Xenopus tropicalis: one gene and its partner. The protein of the gene in region 1 purifies or fractionates together with the protein of each later gene. This does not show direct contact. Links are inferred from orthologs where the notes say so. Each region holds a gene or a part of one and is shown on either strand. Other genes may lie near its edges.

Region 1 (5,384 bases):
TGGGTCACATTGCCAGCTGTCCGACCATTAAAGGGGTTATCCACCTTTGAGTTAACTTTTAGCATCATATATACAGCGATATTCTGACAATTTGCATTTAGCCTTCATTTGTCATTATTTGTAGTTTTTCGGTTATTTCGCTTTCAGTTCAGGCGCTCTCCAGTTTGGCGTTTCTGCTGTTATTTGGTTGCTAGGGTCCAAGTGTAATTTTTTTTTTATTATTTAGCTTTTTATGTAGCAGCTCTTACCATAGCAATCAGGCATTGATTTTACTAAGAGACTGGAATATGATCAGGAGAGTGCCTGAATAGAAAGGTAAGTTATAAAAAGAAACAGTAACAATAAAGTTGCAGGCTTGCTGAGCAATAGGGGGTCAGTGACCCCCATCTGAACGTTGGAATGAGGGAGAAGAAGGCAGCAAATAAATGGAAAACTATAAAAAAGAAAAAATGAGGACCAACTGAAAAGTTGCTTAGAATTAGCCATTCTATAACATACTAAAAGTTAACTTAAAGGTGAACAATCCCTTTTTAAAGCGGAGTGTGCCATGGTCACCAAAATGCCACATCTATAGCCCTAATTTAATATATTCCCTATACCAAAACCACCTGAGAAGTGCCTTTTAATGAGTGCCATCAGAACTTTGGTCTAACTGGGCACCACTGGACATTATTATGGGACAGGTTAGGGCCATACTTCTCTAGTATTCCAACCAGTTGGATTAATGCCATCTGGCACATACCGCATAACTGTAGTATTTGACCCATTCCCAAAGAGCAAGATCCAAAGCCAAAGAACACTGAGCAGTGAAACAAAGATGGCTGTGATTTAGAAAACAAGGTTACATAGATGGGAAACATAGTGGTGTAGTTGCCTTCCAGTCATAATTCCAAGAATAATCAGGCAGCAAATAAGGGTTCACCCCGAACCTTATCCCAACTGATCTTCCATCTGGGCTTTCTATCTAGGAGAGCAAACACATTAACCCCTTACACTTACTGGCCTCCCTGGGTGAGTCCGACAGTTTGGGAACCATTGCTCTCCATCCTTGCACAGATTAAGGGCTCAGTTATGGAAAAAAAGAACTGAGCTACATACACAGCCCTAAGGCTACAGTTGTATTTGGATTCACATAAAGAAAGCACATACTGATGTAGAAACGTGTGTATATTTACACATACGGTGCTTTATGTACAGTTTAAAAATATACAAAGGTCACCATGCAACGAGTCCAACTCATATCCGTAGGCACATCCCTGCCAGCCTGTCCAGCACACAGACAGCAAACTAATCACAAAGTATTGAGGGAGATTAACACCTCCCTTGGGGCAAGTTTCCTCCCACAATATCCTTGAAAATATAAATACACTGGGTTCAGCGGATCCTCCCGCAATCACGATATGCATTAAAATAACTATTTAGCAAATTTCTGCTTTTTCTCCTTATTCTTTTTTAAATTCTTCTTCTGTTTGAATCCCTCCTTTTCTGGCTGCTCCAGCTTTCTCTTCTTGTCACTGCAAGGGAGGAGATGAACATTAGGGTGCACTTGATGTAAAGAGCAGAGCAAACATTCTGGCATGGCAAGCAAGAGGGGAATACTGGGCACTATACTTGCATATATTGTTTCATTATTTGAAAGCTTACTCATAGTTCTTACTCAGCTTCCAGGTGGCCATGCACAGGCCATTAAAAGCTGCCAACTCAACCCCTAGACACTGAGCTATCAGCTTATTGGCCAACATATGGCTCCTTCCTGATCAAAATCCGAAAATTGGGAATATATCTATCGGCAGGTTAGAACATTAATCCCTTCAGGTGTTTAACAGATTATAATATATCTTCCCTTTTTATATTCAAAGAGTTACCCTTTCAAATGCTTTCTATCCCTGGGGAGAAAATATACCTTAAAGCTCACTTTAACTATATCAAAAGCTGTATAATAAATGCTTAAGCATTTAAGTTTATTTTGCTTGACAGTGATAGTTACCCTTTAACTGTAATACTTATTCTAACCAGTAGATGGCTTTTTCCAATAATCTAACTTGTTCTATAACAACAAGCCAAGCAGTCAATGCCGGGCTATGTACAGAACTGTACGGCAACAAGGAGAGATGATAACAGATAGGTAGGCACTGCAACTAACCTTTATTAAAGCAGCCAAACACACCAAGATCAGATTGTTTGGCCAGGACACAAAACAAGCAGAACGTTTTCGGATTTGGCCCATCACATGACCTTGGGCCAATTTATGTATGTATGTATGTATGTATGTATATCATTATTTAGAAAGTGCTGTACAGTAGAATAGATTAATACAACAGGGGGTTATTAATATAATAATAATAGATAATAATCAGATCCATATAGGGGGCTTGAAATACCAGTCTGATTAACACACAATGTCCTTAGGGATTTCAAGCCTATCCAGTCAATATCTTTAAAAAGGCCAAATCAGTCGATAAAATGACTGTTTAAGGTCCATACATGAGCCAACAGGCTGCCTATTTGGTCAAGTGGGTGAGCTGAAAGCCAATATCTGCCCATGTATGTGCAGCTTTAGGCACAAGCACTATTTTTAAGCCATTAGTTAATATTGCCCATTTTTCAATAAAACATTATGGTCTGCTGATAAAAAAGACCAAAAACCATTAAAATCTGATGGCACTAAAGGTATTTCCTCTGCAGGTGGAGAAGTGCCCTGAATCTGTCTGTGTCACCATGTCTTTGCTTATAGGGGAAACTGCCTGCCACCGCTGGTTTTAAGGTCGCAAATGCTCATAAACCACCAATCACCAGGGGTGCCAAGCAGTTTCAATTAAAGCCAATGATAAGTGGTGCTGGAGGATTCAGCTGCCGATGAACCCTGTGCCATCCACTGGACTCACCTCTTCATGCTGATAACTGATGCATTTTGACCCGTTTTCTTCAGGACTTCATTCCATTCCTCATCATCCCCTCGGATCACATATCTGCAAACAGAGAATATTCTCCATTTAATGGCCTAATGCATCAGGATAGGAGGAACCCCTTACATGCAAAAATGGTAGAAAATCAGGGATATACTGAATCTGAATCTACGTGCCAGGCCGAACTAAATCCGAATCCTTAAAATCATGTGACTTGTCACAAACAAAAGCGTTCAATTTTATTTAACTCCCTGTGGCCTAATTTGCATATACAAATTAGGATTCGGTATCAGTTTGGTATACAGCCGAATCTTTCAAAAAGAATTCGGGGTTCAGGCAGATCCCAAAATATTGGATTCGGTGCATCCCTGTATAGAATGCTCCCTCTTCCTGATCTGTCTGAAGGTGTCACATGATAAACGCATATATAAACTTGACTTCATGCAAACTGTTCTTTCACTGGTACATAGTGTTTGCCATGTTTTAAGTGTTTGTGTAAACCTGTATGGTTTGTTCCACAAGTAGAAAGCACCATTGAGGGGTTCACACATTCTACATTTTAACAGCAACGTATATACTGTATATGGAGGCAGTGTAAAGATGTTGGGAAAGTTTGCCCCATCCAGAAACCCATGTGAACCAATGAAATGTTACCTTTTACCGGGGCAATTGGCAAAGTAAAAGAAAACCTGGACAGATACATAATTTCACTGGTCTCCGTTGCCCTTCCTTTTGAGGCCAAGTTGGATATTGGATTAGGGTTACTTACTCAGAGAGATTTATCCCTTTTAGCTTCTCCACTTCCTGCTTGTGTTTCTCTTGAAACTCCTTACCGGCCTCTTCCTGGTCAAAAGACATGGTAAAAAGCAAATGAGACTAGGTGCTTAATGCAGAAATGTATCAGAATGCTCAGTTAACAGGGATCTCGCCTCACCAAATCCTCCTGAAGAGACTTCAGTGTTGGTTCCATAACCACCTCCTTAGTGGTAGCCATTTCCTCTTCCACTGCCCTCTCCTGGATTCTGTTAAACAGCTGGAGAGAGAAACAGGATCAGGAGATGCATAGGAAATTGAAGGAATAAAGCCACTTGTGAAAAGGCACCTACCTGGACTATTTTACGAATGATGCGGTTGAAAAGTCCCATCAGCTGACTGCTGGGGAGCTCAATCTCTTTCTCCAACTGATCGACACTTTTATGCTGCAAGCCGATGCCCAGAAGCAGAGCCTTGTTGGAGGAAAGAATATGGTAGTTAGGCCACTCCCACATCTAATACGATACAGACCTCGTGCCCCTAGGAATTGCGTAATAAGTCCCGTTATACCTAGATGGTCTCACTAGGTCTTGCCCCCACCAGTTAATTCCTCTGCTCCATTAAAATAAGTAAACATTATAAATAAATTGATGTAAAATTGATGAGAGTGCTATTCAAAGCACTTTTTCAATTAACATTCATTATTTATTATTCTTTTAATGAAAAGTACTGTTAACATGAATGCATTTTGTTACAACAGCGCCACCTGCTGGTCACTTTCTGAACATGAAGTAGTCGAGGACACTGTATTGTTGAGAAGTTGTCAGGAGAAAGAAAGAGGGATGTTCTTCTGGTTAGGAAAGACATGAGAAAAGTTCTGAGGTTTCGAATACGTTTCCTAACAAGAACATCAGCTTAGTACTCGTTCTTACTCCTGAAAACTTCCTCCACAACGTCCTCGACTACGTCATGTTATAAATGATGAATGTAAATTGCAAAAGTGCTTAGAATAGCGCTCTCATCGACAACAGGGTGGGCACAAGTAGGTAATAAGTTTAATAAGTATCTCTTTGGGGCTTGTAGGTGGGATGGTCAGCAGTAAAACATAAAGGACCCAACTGACATATACGTGTAGTATGACAGCAGTATAACAATCAGCTATATTAGTGGAATAATATATGACTAACAGATTGAGCTGCGGACAAGCTGAGGCCTCCGAGTTGCTGCAGAAAGTACATCCGAGCCAGAGAAGGGATCAGATCCATGATAAGATGATAATCCACCATGTTACGAGAGTACATCTCCAATCGCTTCAGGTCGTAGGGGGTTAAACCAGCCTCTAGTTCAGAGCGAGAGATCACTAGGGTGCAAGAGAAAAAAGTGGGTGAGAAAAGTAAAAACAAATATATAAATCCCAGGCAACTTGGGGGGGGGGGGGGGGGGAGAGAAACTCACGGTTTTCGGATTCCTTCTTAATGTTCCTGTTCTGCAGAATGTTCAGTGCCAGTGATGGTGCAAAAGTACTGAACTGATAGGAAAGGAGAGAGAGAAACCGCTTCCGGAAATCTGTATGAAATTCAATTGAGATAATTAGGACTCCAGAAACAAAGCCCAAACCAAGGCATATTCATAGTAGCTATTATACCATATTACCCCAACCATGCCAGAAATGGATGCATAAGGACATTCTTATATGCCCCTTACAGGCACCTCATACTTCCTGGC
Region 2 (6,179 bases), on another chromosome or scaffold:
TACAATGCAGATAACAAAACTACTGAATATACCTTTTGTATTGCAGTCAAATGTACTCACTGCCAAACTGCAGGATTTACTGTGGGTGACTAAACCTTCTCTGTGCCATCACCCTTAAAGGCAAGTGTACTGTAGCTCAAACACCGTAAAACATAAAAGTGAGTGTATTGAAAATTCACTGCCCTATCAAAGTTCTAGCTGTGTGCAGTATTTTGAGTGCCTTGGGTTTCTTTCAGATTCTCTTCTTTGTCCTCCTTTGTGGGCTGTTGGGGTTTTTCCTCCTTACTACTCTTTATCACCTCCTGTAGATTGTACTTCCTAAACACAGTATAGTCCTTCACAACACTAAAGCAGCAGACATTCTTTATGATTTCAACTATGACAGTATACTCTGGGTTACTTAAATCCACCTTGTTTTCTGGGTTCTGGCTTGCGACAATCCCTAAAAACAAAATTAAAGTAAAAAAAATATATATATAAGACTCTACAAGAAAATACATGCTAAAATATTCAACAAAGTGAGGCGAGTGGAAATGAAACAGCCCTTGCACCCTTATGTAGTTATACCTGCTAGTTCCTTTATCACTTCATCTCTATTCATATGGTTGTTGTTCCGTGCTTTATATGCAATCTGAAAGGTTCCCTTGTTGGGAGATTTAAACCAGGGTGCAAAAAATGTCTCCGCGTATTTCTTCAAGTCCTCAAGAAAAGCCTTGCATGTACCAGAAACGGGCAGCATGCGGAGGATGACCCTGGTCTTCTTCTTCTTGGTTGTGTGCACGTCTTTCAAAATATGATGCACCAGCTTCTCAGGCTCTGAAACAGCAACCGAGAAATCAATCAGCAAAGTTATACTTACACACTGACATTAAAGGGGAAAAATGCAGAAATGTTTTAGATTTCAAGAGTCCTAGGAATTTGATTTAAAGGCCAAATTTGCCCACATAACATCCAGTTAGAGGCTCTCTGGCAATTGTGCCTGTATAGCCAATCTGTACCTGGCTTCCAGCAGGCATGCTCCTAGTCAGCGATTACTAGAGCAATCCTTAAACTAGATGTGATGCGGCCAAAGGTGGTGATGATGCGGCCAAAAGTGGTAACCCCACTGCGCAACTCTGCAAAAAGAATTCATATTCTTATATGCAGCAAAAATATTGGCTTGTCTACATCACCTGTGAAAAAAGAAAAAAAAACTTTTAATTTTCCTTTTCCTGGAGACAAAGGGTGGGAGGTGCAATATAACCTCTCTAATATTTCATGACAAATAATTAGCAACTCTTTCAAAAACAAGCTTACCCACATTCAGTGTTCTAATAAAAATAACATTGTTTGCTCCACTTTCCACAGACTGAAATCTACGCAGGTTTTTTTCTGTTGAAGTGCGAATCTGATCGACTTCTTTCTTTAGAGCTGCTTCTGCATCATCATCCTCTTCCTCACTTTCTGATAGCCCATCGTCTTTCTCACTTAGCTATGCAGAAGAGAATTGTTTTAACACATATTGAAGGGTATGGTGTCCTGTTTGGTCAGTGCATCAGCTAGTAACATGTATACGGTAGGCAGCCACCAGCTTCCCAGGCATGCCCTGTCCTACTTAGACTTTCAGACCTGGCACATGTGTACTACATAACTTTTCTTAAGAAAAAAATTAAGTGGTGCAGGGGATGCCTGGAAACCATAGCAGTGCCCACACTGGAGATAACTATCCCTGGTCAGTGTTGCTAAACAACAGGAGCACTGGGTAAAACGTAAGTAATGGTGGGTACCTAACAAATTTGCACCACCAAGTGGTGCAGGCATTCCTTGTCCTTTAAACTGAACACATACAAAGACAAAATTTGTTCTCCTATTTGGTGGATAACGTCTTTACAGGCTATTTTTTTTTTCTTTTTGACTATAACCTTGTATTTCCACTGACACTGAATCTATCTAACTTGTCTGACAACTGAGTAATGAGTTCTGTGACTCTTGAACTAGCATTTTTTCAGCTGCTGTTGTACTAAAAATACCAGCATCCATACTGGCATAACGTCAACAGCGAATGGAGAATGGTGGTACAACATGTATTACACATAAGCTCTAACATTCCCCAGTAATGAGTACACTACAGAATATTCAGATTGCCGTTGGGGGACTGGTGTGCTCCAAATAGTATTGTTCTAATAAGAAGGGCCCTCCTTACCTCCTGTGTCAGTCACTATGTATGTATGTATATCTTTATTTATAAAGCGCTACTTATGTATGCAGCGCTGTACAGTAGAATACATTAATGCATTAAAGGGGGTTAAGATAATAATAGATAAATACAAAGTATAACAATAAATACAAGATACAGTTGCGATAAGTTATTCGTATTCTGTACGAATAATGTGCTTACTCTATCATACAGAGCTGCAAAATATTTTAGTGCTTTATAAATACTTATATATATATATATATATATATACATACACACATGTAGAAATATGAGCCGCACTCACAGGACTTAGTGTGAGAAAAAAAAAACAAATTTATTGAAGCATAAAGCTATTAGCTTTATGCTTCAATAAATTTGTTTTTTTTTTCTCACACTAAGTCCTGTGAGTGCGGCTCATATTTCTACATGTACCGGTATATTTTTGTTTGACACTGCACCCAGGCATTCCAAATCCCATTTTTATGTGAGTGCCAGTTGCCATATTGCATATATATATATATATATATATATATATATATATATACACACACACTTTGTAAAGTTATTATGGTTGTACATTTATGGCATTCCAGCATTGAAATGTGGCTCTGTTGCTCTTTAGCAAAAGAACATCCAGCAGGGATTGAAGATATTCCTACAAATAACATTTTTTTTAGCTGCAAACAGATTTCATTAGAAATATTGAAGGCTGTACCTTCTCAGGACCATACATCTGATCCCCATATTCATTCAGTAGGCTGTAGGCTTCTGCTACACATTTCCGCTCATTCATGTTACAGGTGATAAGGATCCCTTGCATTCCAACCTCCAGCTCATGGCGCCGCTTCTGCCTCTTGGCATTGCCGCAGAATTGAGACTTATATCTTTTCTTGCCCTTTTGCCCATCTGTGCTCATGATTGGTGTGGAATAATAAAAAAGTTCCTGGTGCTAACAACAGTTACAGCCTTCACCTAGATGTGTATTCCTGGTATCTGTCTCTAGGCAAAGAAATCAAGAAAAGGTTATATTCCAATCAACCTAACATCAAGTAAAATGTGCAATAAAATGAAAATGATTGTGCATTCATTACTTTCACGGTATTATTTTTAATGCAATGTTTATATGAATTTGCACAAAGTTGCTGTGCAATATTCATGTCCAACCTATTCACCATAAAGGGAATTGGAGGTAGAACCTCACAACAGGTGCCTTGTTGTGAAGGTATGTATGTATGTATTCAAATTTACAAAGATTCCTAGTTGCAATGTAGATTAAAGGGCACATATAATAAAACTGTTTCGCCTACCAGAGATCTGTAAAAATGGCCCCTTTAACAAGGTGATCCACTACCACCAAGTTGCCTAGTGTTTGACTACCAATCCATATCTAGAATATACAGATGTATAGGAATAATGGAAGTGGACATGAGATTGCTTGCTGCTGGATTAACTATTGCTGGGTAAACTTTGCCACTGTTCTCCCACGCAACATTAAATAATATTCCTAGAGGGGCAGTACTCCCTATATATCTGTCATCAGTTGTGAGGCAGAAATAGGCGCCACACACACACAGATTATAGGGACCAATGTGTTTAACCTATTCATTGGTTACACAGTGCGACATTTCAGGGGCACAAGTCCCACACACAGTCTTCTCATTCACAGCCACAAATCTACCCTAGGCCGACACATTGCTTAAGCAGCGTTCTATTATTTAGCAAACAGTAGGCAATTATTAGAATCACACACTACCTTCTACACGCAGCCCGCACGTTATCTCCGTGTTACTGCGAGAGCATGGCCGCAGCTGGTTCCTAAGGGTCCGCCGGTGACGTCACGAACATGTGACCGTCTCCAACACGTGACATTCGGCGCCTTCTTCAAATGGCTGTAGGAATAGGTCACTCAGTAGTGTATTGCGTTGCGCTGGGTAGCATTATTTTTTTCTTGGGGCAGGATTACATGCAGGAGTTTAGTTAGTTCTTGCTGAGGCGCTTTCGGTTCAGTGGTGGCTGCGGATCTATTACAGACTTGCTGGCCTCTCTAAGGCGTGTGCCCTTAAAGCAACAGTAACATAATTTTTTTAAGTAAAATATCTGTTCTACTCTGCTCCAATAATTGCCCTGTCCTGCACAATGCTTTATTAAAAAAATACCTCAGAAACTCTGTCTCCGGTCCTTTCAAATAAGGGGACGCAGCAATGAGGTGTCAGTTTATGGATGAGGGGTTTGGACATGTGTAAGCAAGGCGTTATTAGGTATGTGTATGCCTTGCAGTGTTGTTTGTGTCCATAGTTGTATACCTGTGGGAAGGTGAGGCTGTATGTGCCACCCTTATATATGTTTCTGTCTTTTGGGGGTATGTCAGGAATGGGGGATAGGTTGGGTCAGCCTGTGTGTGCCCCCAAGGTATGTGTTTCATTGTGGGTACAATGTTTTAAAGGAGACATATCCTATAAAAATGATGAATGTGCCAGTGAATGATACTCCTCTAGATATAGAAGGGCTGTGCTTTAAAAAGTTGTGTTTCTGACTGATTTATTGAGAAATTCCACCAAAACCCCACTAGCCCCGCCCATCTGTTCCACTTCCTGCTGGCTGAATTCTCTGGATGAGCTGGGGAGCCGGAGGCCCTCCGTACACTGAATTGTAGGATAGGAACCAATCAGCAGCTAGGCTGACCTGATAGGGAACTGAAGCCTGTCAGTGCTTGTGTGAGTGCAGGGCTGTGATTGGCTCTCCCCCTCCTACTGTGCTTCTGGCAGGGACCATTAGGACACGCCCACTCTTCATTTCATACTGGATGGAGAAGTGATACGATCTATAGGGAAGCTCAATAAAGGGGCCATTTTTACAGATAGGATTAATGTTTAGAACAAAGTGAAACCAGCACCGTATATTATTCATAATTGCCTACAAAATTAGCGTTTTTTCCATTTATCCAATATGTCTCCTTTAACCCTTTACCTGCCAAGCACGTAGGTACTACACGCTGGCAGAAAAATGCCAAGCACAAAGTGCTTACATGCTTCGCGTTAAAGGGCTTCCACACTGCACTAGCAGTTTTTGCCACCAAGCAGCGGTTGGGATCACAACCCCCTTGGCTCACCTGATTGTCACAGGACCTGACATCTAGCAAACGCCCACTCACTTCCTGCTGTGTAGGCTCTGCAATTCTGGTACCCTCAATGCAGAAATGGTAAGTGCCCTTTCTTTACACATTTACACACACATACATACACTTACACATTTTACTAAAGTTCTCTTTTTTTTTTTTTTCTTTTCTGGCTTTTTTTTTTCTTTTGTACACTCTTGCAGATATTTACACACTCACATATACACACATTTACACACTTTTTAGAGCCGTACACACATGCATACACAAACATACTTTTTAAATTTTATTTAGTTCTTTATTTTATCATTTTGCCTCTCGTTTTCTCCCTAAATACTGTTGATTTCACAGTGTGGCTATTGGATCAACTATTCAGACCCCTAACCACGCAGTTTGATCACTAATTTTTTTATTTCATTGAATTACCAAATTGTATTTTGTTTTGTGTTGTTTTTTTTAGCGTAGCTTTGCAGTTTGCTAGTTTGGAGTAGAAAGACAGAATTACCCATTGTGGATTCATCAGAATATGTACTTTCCAAAAATATATGGTTTATGGTAAGTCTTTGTACTGTTAGGGGGTCTTACAGCTCATAATAAGCAGTCGGGGCTTTGTTCACAGAAGGCAAATTGACAGGTTAGAAAATTCATATGCACTATTTTCATTTGGGGTCCGTACATGCCACCTGCTTTGGTATATCTATACATATTGGGCATCAAACTGATCAGTAGACCCTTAGCCCTTTAGGGTGGTTTCCAATTGTATGTAAGACATTAGTGAGATAAATGTGGCATGGCAATATATTTAGGTGCTTTAGCACAGCTTTGCAGTTTGGTATTTTGGAGTAGAAAAAGATAATTACCCATTTTGGATTCAACAGGATGTGTACT

What was found. Proteins that work in one complex are often made in the same cells at the same time.
Region 2: the proteins of nat10 (region 1) and thumpd1 purify together in Homo sapiens (co-immunoprecipitation; 3 studies listed by BioGRID and IntAct, counting the BioPlex papers as one, with this or other methods). This does not show direct contact. The link is inferred for Xenopus tropicalis from reciprocal best matches to the Homo sapiens genes NAT10 and THUMPD1.

Annotation. Positions count from the first base shown.
Region 1 is NC_030680.2:15,208,716-15,214,099, forward strand, and holds the end of nat10 (RNA cytidine acetyltransferase), read right to left. Parts: intron 5,226-5,384; coding exon 5,115-5,225; intron 5,020-5,114; coding exon 4,847-5,019; intron 4,133-4,846; coding exon 4,013-4,132; intron 3,940-4,012; coding exon 3,841-3,939; intron 3,750-3,840; coding exon 3,676-3,749; intron 2,970-3,675; coding exon 2,886-2,969; intron 1,515-2,885; coding exon 1,415-1,514; 3' UTR 1,150-1,414; downstream 1-1,149. UniProt on the Homo sapiens protein: RNA cytidine acetyltransferase that catalyzes the formation of N(4)-acetylcytidine (ac4C) modification on mRNAs, 18S rRNA and tRNAs.
Region 2 is NC_030685.2:34,390,142-34,396,320, forward strand, and holds the start of thumpd1 (THUMP domain-containing protein 1), read right to left. Parts: upstream 3,974-6,179; 5' UTR 3,930-3,973; intron 3,176-3,929; 5' UTR 3,093-3,175; coding exon 2,892-3,092; intron 1,472-2,891; coding exon 1,297-1,471; intron 817-1,296; coding exon 568-816; intron 443-567; coding exon 195-442; 3' UTR 1-194. UniProt on the Homo sapiens protein: Functions as a tRNA-binding adapter to mediate NAT10-dependent tRNA acetylation modifying cytidine to N4-acetylcytidine (ac4C).